5 linked regions of the Ovis aries genome follow. The protein of the gene in region 3 purifies or fractionates together with the protein of the main gene of each other region. This does not show direct contact. Links are inferred from orthologs where the notes say so. Each region holds a gene or a part of one and is shown on either strand. Other genes may lie near its edges.

Region 1 (4,030 bases), on a different chromosome or scaffold from region 3:
CACCTGATTATATTCTTTCATGTGTCTTGTTTTTTCAGATCAAAAACAACTCTTTCTGAACCATGGGCACAGGAAATACCAACTGGAAGACAATTCTCTCTTGTCCCAGCTTCCCACAAACATCCTCAAGGTTTCAGTCAAGTAAGTCACCTCTTTATGATCAATAGCCAACAACTACAGTACAAATCCCAAACACAGCATGTTGATGAGCTTGCAGCCAGCAAGCAGCCCATACTGATTTTTGGAACTCTAAGTTCACTTTAGAGTTTATCCTACAGCAAGTTTCATTTGTACAGTGCTTTAGAATTTATAAAAAGCTTTCATATAATGACCTCATTTTGATTTTCATCTCACACTCCCTGAAGTGGAATGACCATTGCCATTCTTCTCATTTCATATATAAGCAGAGCTTTGGGAGGTTAAGTGGCTAGCCCAAGGAGAAGCCCTTAACCAGAACACAAAAGGCAAGAACAAGGCGCTTCCCATTGTCCTGCCAGTCTATAAAATGGAGAAAATGTTTACTGACATTTTTCAAAACTCCAAGGTAAAGAGTTTATTAATGAGAGTCCCCTATGAGCTAACACTGTGCTGGGTTCTTATGATCTCATGACTCTAAGGATGAAGTCCAAAACCTTTACACGTTCCTGTCCAGCCCTTCCAGACAAGCTTCTTTTCCATTTCTATGACTGGTCATGCCTCTTTCTGTCTGAAAACTTTGCCTAAGCCATTCATTCCCTTTGCCTAAAATATCTTTCTCTTGGCCATCTCCTATATATTCTCCAAGACTTGGCATAAATGTCACTTCTCTGGGGAAGCCTTTACTGATGGTGCCACCTCACTCACCACCCTCCCAAGCCTGGCTATATCATCCTACCCCCTACTTCTCTTTCACAGTAATCACAATGTAATTATGTACTTATGTAATTAAGGGTACTTATGTACCCTCCTGGAGGGTAGAGACCACCTCTATCCCTGCCACCTAGCATAGTGTCTGGCATGTAGTGACAATTCAACAAATAATCTATTCATTGTGAGTAAATGATAATATGATGGGTGAGGAGTTCAGGCTGAGGAGCAGACTCAGCTTGACCAATAGTTGGCACAGTGACCTTGGTCAAGGCACTTAACCTCTCTTGGCCTTGAGTCATACATTCGTAAAATAGAGAAAATATTTATTTTACTGTTTCTTGATGAGTAACTGAAAAAATGCACAGAAAGCACTCAGAACAATACTTGGCACATAGAATGCCCATAAGAAAATCAACTCATTCAATGAATATTTATGCCAAGCATATAAAGAAATTATTGGGATTAAAAACCTGAATTCTTTCCACTCGTCTTTCTGCCATCTTCTATCTCATGCCACTCTCTCCCTCAACCAAAATGCTCTGGCCAAATCACCTCTTTTGCTAGTTCCAAAATATCGACAAGCGCTTTCCTTCCTCAAGGACTTTATACATGTCATTCCCTTTCCTTCTCCTGCTCTTCATCTGGATGGCTCCTGTCCTGCCACATCCTCTGGGTCACAGCTTCAGTGTCCAGCTTCACTTGTTTCCTTTTCAGCATCCAGGATAGTCCATTTGTTGAGCAATTTACATATTCTTTCCCTAGCTAGGTTGTAAGCTCCCGGAGGGTGAGAAACTCACCATCCACCCTTCACTGCTATATCCCCTGTGAGTGCCTAGCAGCACAGGTGCCTGACACTGAGTAGATACTGAGTAACTGTGCTAAATGAACAAACGGCAGCTGTTACTAAATAGCATTTGGGGTGGCTTCCAGTGGCTAGGACTCTGCACTTCCAACCAATGCGGGGCAGGGGTTGGGTGGGGCGGCGATCCCCGTTCCATCCCTAGTCGGGGAACTAGATTCCCAAGTGCCTCAACTAAGACCCGGTGCAGCCAAATAAATCAATAATTTTAAAAAATAAAATAATCTTTTGTTTCGCTCCTCTCTCTCTCTCTGAACACGAGGCGGAGAAACACAGGCACCCAATTTCCTCACACGCGGTCTACCCACGAGGAGGCGAGAGCATTTTTAGGGGACGGCAAAAGGGCAGAACTTACCAGGCAGGGAACGTCTCACTAGAGGGCAGTTCCCCTGTTGAGAAAGAAGACGTCGGTCACCCGAGACGAAAAGTGAGGGAAGAAACAGCTTTTTCAAGTACAGACCTAAAGCTGCCCCCGGGACTGGTGACAGGTGAACCTCGGGCCTCCTCCCAAAGGCAAAGGCAACAGCAACAACGCGGGCGGGACGCCGGGCCTGCCAGACTATCTCAACCTTCCCCCACAGGAGTGAAAACCCACCGCCTTTTAACAGATTAGAAAAGAGGCCCTGGGATCCAGACGGGGGCTTCCGCGGCGCCTCCCGCCCCGCGTCCCCGAGCTCTAATAGAGTCTGGTGTCCTGGCGGGCGCGGCTCTGGGCGGCTCCTCCGCCCGCGCGGACGCAGGGTGGGGTCCGGCAGGGGCCGCGGCGCCGGCGGCCGCGGGAAGAGCTCCCGGCCGCTAGGCTCCACAAGACGGCCCCGGAGGCGACAGCGGCTCCGGGCCGCCCAGCCCCGCGGCGGCGGCCTCCGCGTCCCGGTGCCCTTGGTGCCCGGCCTGGCCGGCGCGCCACGCCCCTTGTCGTCCCCACCCCACCCCGTCTGCCCGCCGGCGACTTTCTCTCCCGCCGGGGGTCCCGGCCCGGTCGGACCGTACCTTCTGGAAGGCGGAGAGCGAGCGGCTGAACGCCCGGGACGCGCAGCGGGACCGGGACAGCATCACGGCGGCGGAGCCGAGGGCGGGCGGACACCGGATATCGGCCCCGGCAGCAACCGGAAGTGGGTCGGGCCGCGGCACCCGCTGCGCGGGGAGGGGGGTGAATGGGTGTCCGGACCGAACCACTGGCGGGAGGAACGGGGCGGGGCCTGCTGCGGCTCAGGCCGGGCCTCCCGAAGGCTCCTGAGACCGTCTGGCGACAGATCGCTCCGGCTCCGGGTTGCCACCCTCCCCGTATCTCTCCGCGGAGCTTTCGGATAAACTCGGCGTCCATCTCTCTTGGGACACCCTCCCACCCAGGGCACCGCGCTATTCCTTCCCCGCATTCCCGGGGGGCAAAAAGCCGAAGGCGGCGTGGGCTTCTTCGGACTCGGACCTTGGGCTGACGTGCCTGTGCGATCTTACACTTTGTGTGGCCTTGGTCAGGTGACATTGCTTCCCTAAGCCTCAGGTTCCTCAAAGATAGAGCGGGGAAAAAAAAAAAACAACAAACTTCGCTCGCTCCCTAACCCCGGAACAAAGAACTGGAGCACCGAGGAACCTCTAAAGGGCTCCCGTTGCCCTTTAACTGACCTGAAGATGTTCAGCAAGCCTTCTTCTGCATCCTTGTCTCCTCATCATCCCTGCTCAAACTCTCTCCAGCCGAGCTGGTTGTTCCCCATACCTCTTGCGCGTTTTGGAGGCTCTTCGTCATTCTACCCCTCGAATATAAACTCCGTGAGATTAGGAACGTGGTCTATCTTGTTCACTTCTTATATCTCTGGCCATTTACTAAAACTACAGTTTTTGTTAAAATATTATTAACTTGTAGCACTGTATACGGAGAAGGCAATGGCAGCCCACTCCAGTACTCTTGCCTGGAAAATCCCATGGACGGAGGAGCCTGGTGAGCTGCAGTCTATGGGGTCGCGAAGAGTCGGACACGACTGAGCGACATCACTTTCACTTTTCATTGTCATGCATTGGAGAAGGAAATGGCAACCAACTACAGTGTTCTTGCCTGGAGAATCCTACGGACGGCAGAGCCTGGTGGGCTGCCGTCTATGGGGTCGCACAGAGTCGGACCCGACTGAAGCGCCGCCGCAGCAGCACTGTGTAAATTTAAGATAGCGTAATTTGATTTATGTATCTCATGAAGTGATTATCACAAAAAGTTTAGCGAGCATCATCACCTCAGCGTTCAAAAAACTAAGATCTTGGCAATCCATTCCCATCACGTTATGGCAAATAGATGAGGAAAAAATGGAAACCGTGACAGACTTAATAAAAGTC
Region 2 (3,513 bases), on a different chromosome or scaffold from region 3:
ATTATCTCCAAGGCGATACATCCTTGATTCAATGATAGTGCAGTATGGAACCGACAGATCCAACTATGCGATATTTTTGTTATGAAAATACTCTGTTCCAGGAAATTAATCCCAAGAATTAAAATTTTTCATGTTATCACTCACTTATTATAGGATAGGATGGCAATCCTCTTCCCTCACCGGAAAACTCAGTGTCTCAACCATTAAGAGCTGAAGAAATCTCACCTATAGTGGCCTTGTCAGTCTCTATCTCTGCCAATAAATCTCCTTCATTTAGCTTCTCACCCACTTTTTTTTCCCATCTCTGAACTGTGCCCATGGTCATGGTGGGAGAGAGGGCAGGAAGAAGCACCTGTAGAAACAAACATATATTTTATTATTACTCAATATTAGGATGCTTTTGACACAATGGCACTCAGGCAAGCAAATAGCTTTATGGAATGACAGCGACTATGACAATCCAAATTCCCATCTGCCTGATGCTCCCACAGCAGCAAAAGCCTCGAGCTTCAGTAGCGTCCCTACAGGTAAATCCTTTAAATCTCAAGCTTTTATAGTGCCAGTGATACTCTGACCCACCCTTCAAAGTTAAAAACCACAGGCAGAGGGGAAAGATTTCTTTCTAGATGGCTAAAATTAATTCCTCAACGATATCTAAACATAGAACATCTCATCTTTCTTAACACTTAGATTAAGCTAGAGGTTTTTCATCTTCATAGAATGACCTCAGACTTTTCCACTAAAATTTTACTGTGTGCTTTATTGAAATCCACCTTTTCATTCAGAGGAGACTGAATTTCTCCCAAACTCCCTGGATACTTTATTAAATTTTTAATTATTTATTTTTGGTTGCTCTGGGTCTTCATTGCTGTACACAGGCTTTCGCTAGTTGCACTGAGCAGGTGCTACTCTCCAGCTACAGTGCACAGGCCTCCCATTGGAGAGGTTTCTCTGGTTGCAGAGCATGGGCTCAAGGCACGCAGGCTCAGTAGGTGGAGCTTTTGGGTTTGAGAGCACAAGCTCAGTAGTTGTGGCACATGCGTTTAGTTGCTCTTCAGCATGTGAGAATCTTCCCAGACCAGGGATTGAACCTGTGACCCCTGCAGGCAGATTCTTAACCATTGGACCACTAGCCAAGTCCCTCCCAGGTACTTTTTCAAGATAAAAAACTAATATCAAGGACTGTTCGGGACTTCCCAGGTGGCCCAGTGGTTTAGACTCTGTGCTCCCAATGCAGCAGGGCACAGGTTAATCCCTGTATGGGGAACTAAGATCCTGAATGCTATATGGCATGGCTGAAAAAAAACCCCAAACAACAAAAACCTGTTCTTACAATAGTCACTTCCACCTGAGTAAAATGTAAAACAGATTGGCTAATCTAAATTAAAGACTGCTTCCCTATTTATATGGCTTGTATGTTCACTGAATTTGGATGCTCACTCAGTTACGGTTTTGTTTGCTATCTTCTTAAGTCTTTTGCATCTATTTAACATAAGGATTATGCTGAGAGAAAAGTCATTTTAATTGATGATGTCTCAGGAAGCTGTGGGGAAAAAAGCAAAACAAAACTTAGAACTCTCGACCTTCTCTGGTGGTCCAGTGGTTAGGAATCCGCCTGCCAATTCAGAGGACTTTGATCCCTGGACTGAGAAGATCCCACATGCCTTGGGGCAACGAATCCCATGAGCCACAATTACTAAGCCCATGCCCTAGAGCCCTCGAGCTGCAACTACTGAAGCTCCTGTACCTACAGTTCATGCTCTGCAACAAGAGAAGTCATCACAATAAGAAGTCCAAGCACCATAACAAGAGAGTAGCCCCTGCTTACCAAAATTAGAGAAAGCCTTCTCTTGGCAATGAAGACCCAGCACAGACAAAAAAAATTTCTGTAACTTTTTTTTAAATTAAAAATTTTAAAAATTTGCTGAACAGGATGAAATAAATGTGTGAACTGACCACCAGGCAAAATTCCATCATGAGTGAATGTTAATAAAAGACCAGGGAATAGAACATGATGCCCAAAGAAGAAAATTATTCCTATACAAAAATTTCTACAAATAATCTAAGAGAAGAAAAAGTTCTAGTCTTAATTCTTTAGGAAAAAATGCAGCTGGCTTTTATCCATTTCCAATATCCAAAACACACAAATATACAGGGGGTAATCCTAATATCTAATAAACTAATCAGTAGACACTGATTTAGTTAACAGAATCAACAGTGACTACATTTACCACCTTCAGCTTTGTTGTGACGCTATTATACATGTCTGTGCTGAATCGCTCAGTCATGTCTGACTCTTTGAGACCCCATGGAATGTAGCCCTCCATGCTCCTCTGTCCATGAGGATTCTCCAGGCAAGAATACTGGAGTAGATTACCATGCCCTCCTCCAGATTATATATGTCTATTTGACGCTTATTCTTTATTGTTAGTCTTTTCTAAATACTACTGGATTATTTCACTTACTCTGAGAAAACAGAACACTACATGTCAAGGAAAAACACTAACTGGGGGCTTTTATTCAATAGACAGCACTTCACGCCTACTAAAAAAACTCTATACAGGGAGTATATATAAGTGGGTTTCCCAGGTGGTGCTAGCGGTAAAGAACCTGCCTGCCGATACTGCTGCTGCTGCTGCTGCTAAGTCACTTCAGTCGTGTCCGACTCTGTGTGACCCCATAGACGGCAGCCCACCAGGCTCCGTCATCGCTGGGATTCTCCAGGCAAGAACACTGGAGTGGGTTGCCATTTCCTTCTCCAATGCATGAAAGTGAAAAGTGAAAGTGAAGTTGCTCAGTCGTGTCCGACTCTTCATGACCTCATGGACTGCGGCCTACCAGGCTCCTCCGTCCATGGATTTTCCAGGCAAGAGTACTAGAGTGGGTTGCCATTGCCTCTTAGGTACTGTATAATAACAAATTAACAAAAGGATCCAAAGGTCTTTAGCAGGAGGAAGAATATAGAAAGTAACCAACCATAACCTCAGAAGAGGAAGAAACTCAGGACTGAGGAAAAAAATTCTGACACAGTTTTTATGCCCCAACTCCCATAACATTTTTGCCCTGAATAAAGTCACAAAATTTTTGGACAATTAATTTTTTTATCTTTTTACATGTGTAGGTCACTTTTATTCTGAGCCTTTCCCAAATAATTATTTTAAGGAAGACTTCTTTCTACACATCCTGACATCTTGCTATTAAAATGGCATGTTAAAACTGGTCAAGTGATAAATCACTCAGCAATGTTACTGGCTTAATTTCAATTCTAACCTGGGTATTAATGTTCAAGCAATATCTATCTTTATGTCACGGCTTGTACTCAGTCATGCCTCACTGTATTTGCAATCCCTCGAACTGTAGCCCACCAAGCTCCTCTATCTATGGGATTTTCCCACCAAGAATACTGAAGTGGGTTGCCATTTCCTATTCCAGGGGATCTTCTCAACCCAGGGATCAAACCCACGTCTCCTGCATTGGCAGGCAAATTCTTTACCACAGAGCCACCATATTAAG
Region 3 (3,513 bases):
TCAACAAACAAGAACGAAAAAACTACTTTACTTTCTTTAAAAGCAAAGGATTAAGTATACAACTTCAGAATGGCAGGTTAAAAAAGAGGGCATTTTTCATACATAAAGGGCTTAAAAGAAGAATTTACTGCCTATTAATTGTTTCACTATAGAGGAAAGTCAAAAAAATGGAATCAGATTCTGTCATCAGAGCCTAGCTCACAGGCTAGGCATTCTGAGACAAGGAAGTTATTTCAGGAATGTATGGCAGACTGACAACAGTAACCTAAATTTTAACAAAGGAAAAAATGTGTTTTAATACCTGTATTAGTTTAACCTTCTAATCTCAATATATCCTTCCAGTTGGTGGCTAACGGAAAAAATGTCTGCACTGTACAAAACATATGCTCACCTTAGAAGGAATACAACCAACATTCAAGCATGTCCCACCGAGTGTTTCATTTTTCTCAACACAGACTGTCTATAAGCAAAGAAAATGTTATTTACTGCACATAACCTGCAATGTTTCAGTTCACCAAAATTCCAAATGTGTGCCTTAATTCTTCTACAAAACATGCTACTGAAAGTGTTTGTGAGAATGAAATATATAGACTCTTAAAATTTATTATCTGCATAATACTAACTCAAAAGTGAATCATTCTGAAAGATATTTGTTTAAAAACCGGATCATGTTTTTATTTAGCTCTATTACTCTATCTTCCAAAGTGTGTACATGTGCATGCTAAGTCACTTCGGTAATATCCACCTCTGTGGGACCCTACAGACTGTAGCCTGTCAGGTTCCTCTGTCCATGGGATTCTCCAGGCAAGAATACTGGAGCGGTTGCCATGCATTCCTCCAGGGGATCCTCCCAACCCAGGGATCGAACCTGCATCTCTTAAGTCTTCTGCACTGGCACACAGGTTCTTTACCACTAGCATCACTTGGGATTCCCAAAGTGTGACTAGAAGCCAAAACAAAACAAAAAATACGGGGTGGGGGGTGGTGTGCGGCAGGGAGGGGATAGTGACTTCACTTTCCATTTCACGAAAATACTACAACTGAATGAATCCTCTCTCTTCATTAGTCTCAGACCTAAATATAATTTATAGAATTAGGAAATTATTTATCATTACTAATTACCTGCAAAGTATTTTGTGAATGTGCTCAACCCTTCCCAAATGAAAAGGCAATCAACGCCTAATCTGAGCTTAAACCTTACCTTGAAGCCTAACTGGGCAGCTTTAATAGCAGCAACATATCCTCCAGGACCAGAGCCAATTACTGTCACATCAGCATCAACTACAATCAAAGCAAATTGATACAAAACAATAAATTGCTTATTACTGATCAAAAGCACTACAGTTAAAAGTGCAAATAACCAGCATTTTCTACATAGTACTATTCATTCCGAGGTACCCGACATTCTCTGACATAACTGAAAATGACACTGAGTTTAAAATTTTGTTTTCTATTTATTCATTATGGCATATCAAAATATAACTGAGTTCTGTACCCACTGTATCTACTGACTTTGCTAAATTCCACAGTTTTATTGAATGATAATGGACAGACATTTAGTGACATAGCTGTATGAAGGAAAGAGCCTGAGCTGTGCAATCTGTCATACCTGGCTTCAAATCTCAACTCTTATCATTTATTAGCTGCGTGACTAAGAGACTTCATTTTTCTGTAATATAGGAACAATAACACTACCATGAATGACTGATGTTTGGATTAAATAAAATAATTTCGTATAATACCTTAGTTCTTTCAATAAACTCAAAACCGATTATATCCTTTTCAGGTACTTAACTTCTGAAGTAACAGGGGAAAAATTCTGCTTCCCTATAATACTTGGCAAATACATTCTGAACTATTTGAATAGTGATAAATTTTGTATAGTTTAATAGGCTAAACAGAACACTCAATGAACTATTCTGGACATTTATCATATAAAGATAAGAAACTGAAAATTAACTTTGATCAGTAGTCTTAGGAGTATAATAATTACGAAACAAATGTAAAGATACGTTGCAATTATTCCCAGTCTTCTCAATACAACATCAAATCAAGCAACAATAACCATTAAGAGTTAGACACAGTCTCCCTTCTCCCCCATCCACTGTCCTTACAATCTCAGTGACTCTAAAACTTAGTAGTTTTAACACACTTTCACATGTTTTTCTCAGAACTTCCTAGGAGAAAGGTAAGGATGCAATATATATATATATCTATATATATATCTATCACAGGTAAAAAACACTAGGTTAAAAAAGAAAAAACCCACTAGTTTCAGACAGTTCAATTAAACTTGCTCAAGTTTAGCAGCCATGTGACAGAGACAAAATTAGGCTTTTTGTCTCTCCTTCCAGCAGTCTATTATTTAGTATTACTCAGTTCCTTAATTTCAACTACCTCCAAGAGCAATAATCAAGCTGTATAATTACTAGCTATCTAACCTTAGGTGAGTAATTTAATCTGCTTCACCTTCAGTTTTCTCATCTGCAAAATAAGGAGTACACAAAAAAATATCTACCTCACAAGGCTGTAATATAAAACAAATAAATATGCAAATAGCTTAACACAGTACCCAAATGTATATAGTATTTGCTATATAATAGCTATATTCTGATCTACAAAGACAACAATTTTAATTTCTTATCATCCCCTTCCCCACAAAACACATACCCCTAGGGGATGGGAGTAGAGTATCCTTTAAAAGACTTTTGCTGGCCTCAACAGAATCACAGAAGCTATGTTGGAGGACAAGTAATAGGTTATCCAACCCAGTTATCCACAAAATCTAAGAATCACCCTACTGAATAAATTAAAGTACTGATTATCCTTGGTAATAATCTGGGTTACTCATACATGAAAAAAATATACCTAGACTAACACACGATTAAAAGTATCGTATCAATTCTCCTGATCCATTTGTGCTTTTTGGCCATACTGCTTAGTTCACTCATTCATGTTCAGAATTAAGTATATAATAAAATATATTTTGATTTTCAAATAGAAATTTCTATAAAATACATTTCTATTTTCAAATCTTGAACCAAATGAGGACCTACCCAACATCCCTTAGTTTGGGTCTAATTTTTAATTTCACAGTAATCTAAAGACAAGCTAAAAAACTTATTTCTTGCCTAAATGTTTAACATTTTAAATTATACAGGTTTATTGAATAAACTTAAATACAAAAAAAAGTCAAAAACGTGTGTTTTATTTCCCAATTTACTATGTGATCTTAGGTCTTTTTCAAAGCTACAGAAAATGCCAAGAAACAGTTCAGTTTGCACTGAAGATACTAGATGTTCCATTCCATGAGAATCCCACTAACATGCTAGGAAGCACAAAGATGAAGGGAAAGAAGAAAAGTCTTCATTTAAAGATCTGTCAGCTGAAGTACAGGAGGGCATTCAGTTCAGTTGCTCAGTTGTGTCCCACTCTTTGTGACCCCATGGACTGCAGCACGTCATCATATGGGTGTGATTCAGGGCAAAGTTTTAAAAATAAGCCATTAGTTAG
Region 4 (4,130 bases), on a different chromosome or scaffold from region 3:
TCCCGAATGGCTGATTTAATAAGCCCTTTTGCATCCTCTGAACTCCAGGGGCTGACCACCTTTAAGCCTGGGCAATGCCCATACCAGGCAGCAAAACACTGTGAGTGCTGGGCAGCTACACCTGCTGAGGCGCCATTGGGCCCCCTGAAGACTATGGGCACAGACTGAAGGCCCCCTGACATGTAGTACGTCTTGGCAGCTGAGTTTATGACCTGGTCGATGGCTTGCATAGAGAAATTGAAGGTCATGAATTCACAAATGGGCCGTAACCCAGCCTGTCAAATCAAAAATGTTGAAAAGATGTTGAAAAGACTGGAAAACATCAGTTTAGAGTGGCAAATAACTACTTTGCCCCACCCCCAACACTCAAGCAGTGATTTTAAAAGGTGTTGTTAAAAGAAACTCTTTGGGTGAGATTCACAAAGAAGACTACCTACCATAGCTGCACCTACAGCAATTCCAGCAAAACCCATCTAGAAAGTAAAATGCAAATGTAAGTAAAAATCCACAAAAATTATAGTAGTATCCTTTAACAGACATGCCCCTCCAAGGTCTGCTTCCTGATGGAAGGCTTACCTCAGATATGGGAGTATCTATGATCCTCTTATCTCCGTATTTCTTCCACAGGCCTCGACTAACCTATAAGCAATGACCCCATTACTTCTAAGTGGGGGCAAATGACCATCTCAATTCTGTATAGTGTTTTTTTTTTTCCTTACTTACCTTATATGCCCCATCGTACTGGGCAACTTCTTCCCCAAGGAGAAATACCTTCTCATCTCTTTCCAGCTCCTCATCCATGCCTTGATTTATAGCCTCACGAACTGTCACCTGTCACAGGCATGGGAAAGCAGTCAATAAACTACAAGATTACTTAGGATACTACTGAGAGTCTCTCTTGACCTAGGCTGCCCACAGCACACTAGACAAAAACCATCAGTAGAACAGGCTTCTCTTTACAAGTTCAAAGAATTTAAAAAGTAACATTTCTATTGCTTATTGCCAGTCTATGATTAGATGTATGAATGAAAAGTATACTAAACACTTCCCTTTTTAATATTTATTGGCTGCACTGGGTTTTAGTCGCACATATGGGATCTTCCCGCTGTGTTGTGCGGGATCTTTCATTGTGGCTCACTGGCTCAGCAGCTGCCATCCAAGAGCTCAGCAGTAGTGGCGCACAGGCTCAGTTTCCCATGTGGGATCTTAGTTCCCTGAACAGGGATTGAACCCACGTCCCCTGCATTGCACGGTGGATTCTTAACCACTGGACCAGCAGGGAAGTCCCCTTTTTCTTAATGACTACCTAATCTTGAGAAATCTGCTTGCTGGCCAGGCCAGTTCACAGGTGCTTTCCTAAGTAGAGAGTATACTGGATAATTTTATTTCCACGTTTGGTATACTGTGGGGCAGAGAACAGTCAAGGAAGCCTAAGGAACACTACATAATGAGCACTAACTAAGCGCCAGACACTGCCACACACTTTGCCTTCAGGATCTAGGAATTACTCAACTATAAAGGTTGGTAGAATCCTCCAGTAACAGAAATGAGAAAGAGAAATTCCTCAAAAACTTGAACACAGAATTACCATATAATCCAACAATTCCAACTTCTAGATTTTATACCCCAAAGAACTGAAAGCGGCGCCAGTCTATGTCTGACGCAGGATATAGCATGCTTGGGGCTGGTGCATGGGGATGACCCAGAGAGATGTTATGGGGAGGGAGGTGGGAGGGGGGTTCATGTTTGGGAATGCATGTAAGAATTAAAGATTTTAAAATTAAAAAAAAAAAAAAGAACTGAAAGCGGGGACTCAGATAATTGCACATCAAAGTTCACAGCACCATTATTCAAAATCCAACAGGTGGAAACAACTCAGGTGTCCATCAATGGTGAGTGGGTAAGAAAAGGTGGTACATGCCTACAACGGAATACTATTCAGCCTTAAAAACGAATGAAATTCTGACACATGCTACAACATGGATGAACCTTGAAAACTTGGTAAGTGAAAGAAGTCAGACCTATAAGGAAAAATATTAAATGATTCCATTTACAGGCCACCCCTGCTGCTGCTGCTGCTGCTGCTGCTGCTGCTGCTGCTGCTAAGTCGCTTCAATCGTGTCTGACCCTGTTCTTCCCCACAGACAGCAGCCCATCAGGCTCCTCTGTCCCTGGGATTCTCTAGGCAAGAATCCTGGAGTGGGTGGCCATTTCCTTCTCCAATAGGCCATCCCTAGAATACATGAATTCATCACCACAGAAAAGTACCGAGGGGTTAGAGGTCACCAGGGGCTAAGGAAGCGTTACTGTTCAGTAAGTACAGTTTCTGTTTGGGACGATGATAAAGTTCTGGTGGTGAATGGAAGACGTGCTAAATGCACTTAGCGCCACTGAATATCCAGTTTAAAACAGTAAATTTTGTTATGTATATTTTACCACAATAAAAAATTTTAAGGGGAGGTGAGGGAAGAAGTGTCACGTCTAGTTCTCTCAGATCGGCCATTTGATTCCATTAAGCCTCGCGTGGGTGACATGAGACCCCAGCCTCTGCCCTGGGGCAAGGGGGCCCTCCCGGCCCGACTAGCGTCCGGGCCAGTTACCTGCAGTGCAGCCGGCGCGGTCCGGTGGAACTGCCTCCTCAGCAGCCCGGAGACCTGGCAGGGAGAGAGAGAGGACGCTCAGAGGGGAACCGAGTGGGCAGGGGTCGCGCAGGGTCATAGCAAGGGAGCCGTTGCCTACCTGCTCAAGGGGTCTCCGCACCAACACAGCAACCACCGCCATCTTGACCGTGTCCTCTAGCCGCTGCCAAATGACAGCACAGCAGGGCCGCGGACGAGTCGGACCCCGCTCCCCCGCCGGCGCGGGCCAATGGCAGGGCACGACGCCTGCGTGCCCCGCCTCCCGCAGTGCGTCATGGGCCGAGGGGGCGGGCCGAGGGGCGTGTGGGTGGTCCCAGTCTGCGGCGGCCGGGAAACTAGGGAGCGCAGGCGGTTGCCGGCGCTCGGGGTGCACGCCCGGAGCGCGTCCCTCCGTGTTAGTATTTTGGACGCGGGGAACGAAAGTCAGACGCTGATGAGCGTAACTCGAGGCCGTGAAAACTGCAGGCACAGAAACGCTTTGGTACGAAGGAGCACTTTATACATAATCTGGTGACTGGGTATTTACAGTGTGACAAGTTACCCTGGAAACACTGTCTTGTGGTTCCTTAGAATGTGAACTGGAGCTAGCTTTCATGTGTGCCAGGCATTATGTTACGTGCTTTAGGGCTCACTTAATTCTCATAGGAACCCTCTCAGGTAATTAGTGTTAATATTATTAGCTCTATTTCTCAGATGGGTAGACTGAATGAAGTAAGGATTGGTTAAAGGAGCCAGAATTTGACTTTATGACTCCTGACTGTAAAAGGTAGTCTTTCCCCACTGCTTCGTAAAGCGGAATTTGGGGTCCCAACCTGGGAGGGAGTTACAACAACCTGCATTTAGAGAGGGCCTATCACCTGAGAAGAGGGCGTCACAGAATAAGATGGCTGGATGGCATCACCCGTACAATGGACATGAACTTGGGCAAAGTTTTGGGAGATGGTAAGGGACAGGGGGGCTTGCCGTGCTGCAGTCCATGGGGTCACAAAGAGTTGGACACGCCTAGTGACTGAACATAACCTGACTAGGGAAGCCTCTGGAAGCTTTATCTCATTGGTCTCATTTTGACTTGGGAGGGAGGGGAATGGGTCACGTAGAACCTTTGGGGACTCCCCCAGTCCCCACTCTTATCCAGGACATTTCAGAAATTTCTGTGAGGGTTGCGAGCTGCTGGTCTGTAACCTGAGAATCTGGGTTTACTGTAAGGGCCCCGAGAAGCCAGTGCAGCAGGGAGAGACTAGGTCACAGGAATCTGGTTGCTGAGTGAGAGGAGAGGGGTGAGGGCAGAAGCAGGGAGACCCCAGGGAGACTTTGGTAGAGAGAACTGGAATAGAGGACAGCTTCAGCATGACAAGCAGGTGGCAGGTTTGAGATCTGTTTGGGACTGGAATCAATAGGGAAGGGGAAGAGTTGAGGAAGGTTTGGGTTTTCTTTGTTTTTGTTGGGTGGGTCTGAGAAGAGAGGCGACTAGGTGTAGGAGATAAGGATCTA
Region 5 (3,950 bases), about 28 Mb from region 3:
GACCTGGTGATTACACTCCTGGGAATTTTTCTCAGAGAAATGAAAACTTCTGTTCACATAAAAACCTGTATATATAACTCCATATAAGCGTGCTATGCGGGGCTGTTCAACACAAACATAATAATGTACTTTTGTGAATGAGAGTTGGCATGTCAAACGCATCCTCTAGAAAAATAACTGGTGTAATATTAAGACTTGTTTTCTAAAGTTGATACTGTGGGTTATTTTTGTGAACAGTCTGATGTTTGGGACCTTTTTTTTCTTTTCTCAGAATAAAAAAGTCCTTATTAAACCAGGAATTTGAAGGAAAAAGAAACCCCAAAAACCTGTATATAAATGTTTATAACAGCTTAACAGTCAAAGAATGGAAACCACACAGATGTCCTTCAATGACTGGAGACTTAAATCAACTATGGTACACCAATAGCCTGGTACATCGATAGCATCAAAAGCATAAAAACAAAACTACTGATATAGGCAACAACCTGCATGCATTTTCAGGGAATCACGCTTAGCAAAAAAAGCCAACCCTAAAAGGTTACATACTGTACAATTCTCGTTATGTAACATTCCTGACATGTCAAAATTATAGAAATGGAGAACAGATTAGTGGTTGCCAGGAGCTGAGGAACTGCAGGCAGGACGGAAGTGGGTACAGCCATAACAAGATAACAGGAGGGACCCCTGGCATGACGGAAAGGTTCTCTATCTTGACTGTTAATCAGGGTCAATACCTGGTTGTGATTATAGTATGAAGTTTTTGTAAAAATGTTATTTGAGAAAATGGGTAGGGACACTGGGATCTCTCTGTACTAGTTGTTGTAATTGCATGTAACAGACTTGCATGTACAATTTCTCAAAATTACAAAATTCTAGAATAAATTTCTCAATAATTGTACAATTATTCCAAAATAAAACTATCTAAAAATTTTAAAGACGATGGTACAGTACTTTTCTCAAATGGGGCAGTCAGGAGTAAGACTAATTAAAAGCAGACCTGCTACATATCTTATATATATATATCTATATATCCTGCATATATATTATGCAAGATACACATATAGCATGGTAAATATTGCACTTTTAATAAGCTGTGTGTTCAAACTGAAATGAAATCAATAGAAATTAATGTATTTCTGAAATTAAAATTAGTCTTTAAATTTTGGAGATGGCTGCATACTATGAATACACCACAAACTAGTGAATTGTATACTTGAAAGAGTGAACAGTATGGTACATGAATCATATCTCAATAAAGCTGTTAAAAGGAAAAAAAAAAGTACTTGAAATGTGGAAAATGCTCTTCAAAATTTTACCAGGATACTCTAATCTTTCTTCAACTTTCTAAGATCAGCTAATTTGCAAAGCTAGAATAGTACTATACATTTTCAGACCGTGAGGGTCTTGCACAAAAAAACTTCAGTTTGACTACTGCACCTCTTGTCACAGTGCAAGCAAGACTTCATCCAGGCCATTTATCCTAAAGCTGCTCAGAGCAGTAAACCTGGGAGTCAGCCTCTAGTCCCCGCTTCAAAGTACGGTAAAACAAAGAAGAGAAACCCCAGGACAAAACAGTTCACACCTCAGGTCTGAGTCAGCTCTCCTCGGTTATGGGTGAAGGGCAGAGAGAACAAGTTCTTGTCTGTACTCAGTGTCTCGCCACCAGTTTTCTACTAAGCTTCGGTACACGACTTACACTGACATCACCTAGCTTTGCGAAACGGAAAAGGTACACTAGTGTGTTCCTCGAGGAAACGCGCTTCATCTCAACATGAACTACCATATCCCTGGAAGAAAGAAGCGTACTGACTACAGTAGGGTACTGCAAGCTTGTCTACCCATTAAGGGTGTTGCCCCCAAAGAGTTCACAGGAGGATGGGTACTGTGGGTACTAAGCATGGAGGGATCCTGAGTATATGAGCACTAAGCAGGCATGCAGCAGAGTAACCCATCCATTAAGGGGTTAATGGATTAGAGGAGCACAGAGAATGGGAACGATGAGTGCTGAGTACAGTAAAGGTAACCGAGGATAGTGGAGGTACTAAGTGCTGGAGGGTAATTCACTCAAGGGTTCACCCAAGAAGAGCGCAGGGAGGATGGGTATGGGGGTACTGAATACACAGGATACTGTGGGGTAATCCGCTCCTCAAGGGCGTCACCCCAAGGAACATAGGAAGGATTAGTACGATGGGCACTGAAAACAGAGGGGTACTGCAGAGTAATCTGTTCCTCAAGGGGTCGTCCCAGGGGCGAAGGGTCAGTCCGGACAGAAGCCGACCAGCGTCTTCGCGCTCTGGGAAAAACGAATGCCCACAAATCACAGCCGGTTCGTCAAGGGCGCGCCACCCTTCCAGCCGTCCAGGCGGGGAGAGGACACAGCCTGACGACTCCCACGTGACGCCTCCTCGACCTTGGGGGTCACCCCGGCCGCTGCGCCCGTTCCCTCACATCCGCCGCGCAGCCCACCCCCCCCCTGCCCATCACAGCCAATGGCTTGCCGCTCCGCGCCCCGCGCGACCTCTGCGCACGCCCGCACCCGCCAATCTCCGCCCGCCAGGAGGCGCCCCCCGCACCATTGGCTGCCACATCCGTCTGTCAGGCTCCGTCCCACCCACCTCCCCCAGTCAGCCCCGCTCCAGCCAGCTCCACTCCCTGTCACCGGGGCGGCGGCGACAACGAGGGCGCGGCGGCCTTGCCCCATGCCAAGACCCTCGCCGCCTGCCTGACCGGAGCGGAGCCTCCCAAATCCGGCTGGACCCGGCCGCCGCGCAAGCCTACCTGTCTCCGGCTCAGCTCCACCCGAATGAGGCGCCGACACCCCACTCCGGGGCACCAAACTCTCGGCCCCGCCTCAGCGTGTGGCGTCAGCACGCCGCCCCGCCCGGAAACGAGAGGGGCCGCCCCTACCTCGTGAGCGGAGTCTTGACGTCACAGAGTCGCGCCCACATCTCCTGTGGCTCGGCCTTGGGGCAATAGTGTTTTCTCCGAGGTTGTGGCTTGCTTTTGGCACGTCGGGTCCTGACCGGCTTGCATGACAGTTCTGAAAGGGGGTCTGCGTGTTGCTAAGTACTGTCTCCTGCAGTAGGCTGTCAGGAGTCCTTTGATGGAGAACTGACCTGGTATGTGATGTCAGAAACAAACCTTGGTCGGCAGTGCGCGCTCGAGGCGCCGCAGGCAGTGGCCCGCGGAATGAGAACCAGGAAGTCCTAACGCTGACACTAGGTTTTCCCAAAGTAGGCAGCGGGCTCGCGGGAGCCTTCGCTTGGTGCAAGGATGGTTTATTATGCCATTTCATCAAATACCAAGTGGTCATCCGCTTTTAGAGATTATTTTACTTACTGCTGAGAAAGCGGGGGGGGGGAACCCACATTTATTGAGTGAGTGAAGTCGTTCAGTCGTGTCCGACTCTTTGCGACCCCGTGGACTGTAGCCAACCCGGCTCCTCCGCCCATGGCATTCTCCAGGCAAGAATACTGGAGTGGATTGCCATTTCCTTCTCCAGGGGATCTTCCCGACCCAGGTATCGAACCCAGGTCTCCGGCATTGCAGGCAGACGCTTTAACCTCACCTCAATCGTAGATACAGCACTATTTTCAACATGTGGAGGACAAAAATCTCAATTTTGTTGAAATACGGTAAGTTGTAAGCAATCACATACTGAGAAAGTCCTTTCAGTTCTTCAGTCTTTATTAGCAAGGGAAAAACCTAATTTAATGCTAAAGTGTCTTTAATTTCACTTTTTCTTCCTTCCCTTTTCTGACCAAGATAAAACTTAGGCTCACAACTTTCGGTGGACAATAATATACGTAGAAGTTACTTGGTCTTCCTGATTTGTGATAGGTTATCTTTGAGATATATGGCAAGTAATAGGTTTTCTGATTTACTGTAATGCTGAAATGTTTTCTTTTGTAATAAAAATGTCCATTTTAAAACTATAGTAACTAGATACT

The links.
Region 1: the proteins of DLD (region 3) and DLST purify together in Homo sapiens (affinity purification with mass spectrometry; 3 studies listed by BioGRID and IntAct, counting the BioPlex papers as one, with this or other methods). This does not show direct contact. The link is inferred for Ovis aries from reciprocal best matches to the Homo sapiens genes DLD and DLST.
Region 2: the proteins of DLD (region 3) and DLAT purify together in Homo sapiens (affinity purification with mass spectrometry; 4 studies listed by BioGRID and IntAct, counting the BioPlex papers as one, with this or other methods). This does not show direct contact. The link is inferred for Ovis aries from reciprocal best matches to the Homo sapiens genes DLD and DLAT.
Region 4: the proteins of DLD (region 3) and PDHB purify together in Homo sapiens (affinity purification with mass spectrometry; 3 studies listed by BioGRID and IntAct, counting the BioPlex papers as one, with this or other methods). This does not show direct contact. The link is inferred for Ovis aries from reciprocal best matches to the Homo sapiens genes DLD and PDHB.
Region 5: the proteins of DLD (region 3) and OGDH purify together in Homo sapiens (affinity purification with mass spectrometry; 3 studies listed by BioGRID and IntAct, counting the BioPlex papers as one, with this or other methods). This does not show direct contact. The link is inferred for Ovis aries from reciprocal best matches to the Homo sapiens genes DLD and OGDH.

What each region holds. Positions count from the first base shown.
Region 1 is NC_056060.1:84,217,007-84,221,036, reverse strand, and holds the start of DLST (dihydrolipoyllysine-residue succinyltransferase component of 2-oxoglutarate dehydrogenase complex, mitochondrial), read right to left. Parts: upstream 2,801-4,030; 5' UTR 2,762-2,800; coding exon 2,699-2,761; intron 2,098-2,698; coding exon 2,064-2,097; intron 1-2,063. UniProt on the Homo sapiens protein: Dihydrolipoamide succinyltransferase (E2) component of the 2-oxoglutarate dehydrogenase complex. The 2-oxoglutarate dehydrogenase complex catalyzes the overall conversion of 2-oxoglutarate to succinyl-CoA and CO(2).
Region 2 is NC_056068.1:22,031,581-22,035,093, reverse strand, and holds part of DLAT (dihydrolipoyllysine-residue acetyltransferase component of pyruvate dehydrogenase complex, mitochondrial), read right to left. Parts: intron 353-3,513; coding exon 226-352; intron 1-225.
Region 3 is NC_056057.1:50,453,946-50,457,458, reverse strand, and holds part of DLD (dihydrolipoyl dehydrogenase, mitochondrial), read right to left. Parts: intron 1,282-3,513; coding exon 1,202-1,281; intron 461-1,201; coding exon 392-460; intron 1-391. UniProt on the Homo sapiens protein: Lipoamide dehydrogenase is a component of the glycine cleavage system as well as an E3 component of three alpha-ketoacid dehydrogenase complexes (pyruvate-, alpha-ketoglutarate-, and branched-chain amino acid-dehydrogenase complex).
Region 4 is NC_056072.1:43,024,516-43,028,645, reverse strand, and holds the start of PDHB (pyruvate dehydrogenase E1 component subunit beta, mitochondrial), read right to left. Parts: upstream 2,812-4,130; 5' UTR 2,782-2,811; coding exon 2,740-2,781; intron 2,655-2,739; coding exon 2,601-2,654; intron 832-2,600; coding exon 724-831; intron 640-723; coding exon 577-639; intron 474-576; coding exon 438-473; intron 276-437; coding exon 1-275. UniProt on the Homo sapiens protein: The pyruvate dehydrogenase complex catalyzes the overall conversion of pyruvate to acetyl-CoA and CO(2), and thereby links the glycolytic pathway to the tricarboxylic cycle.
Region 5 is NC_056057.1:78,498,211-78,502,160, forward strand, and holds the start of OGDH (2-oxoglutarate dehydrogenase complex component E1), read right to left. Parts: upstream 2,806-3,950; 5' UTR 2,779-2,805; intron 2,414-2,778; exon of another isoform or gene 2,187-2,413; intron 1-2,186. UniProt on the Homo sapiens protein: 2-oxoglutarate dehydrogenase (E1o) component of the 2-oxoglutarate dehydrogenase complex (OGDHC). Participates in the first step, rate limiting for the overall conversion of 2-oxoglutarate to succinyl-CoA and CO(2) catalyzed by the whole OGDHC.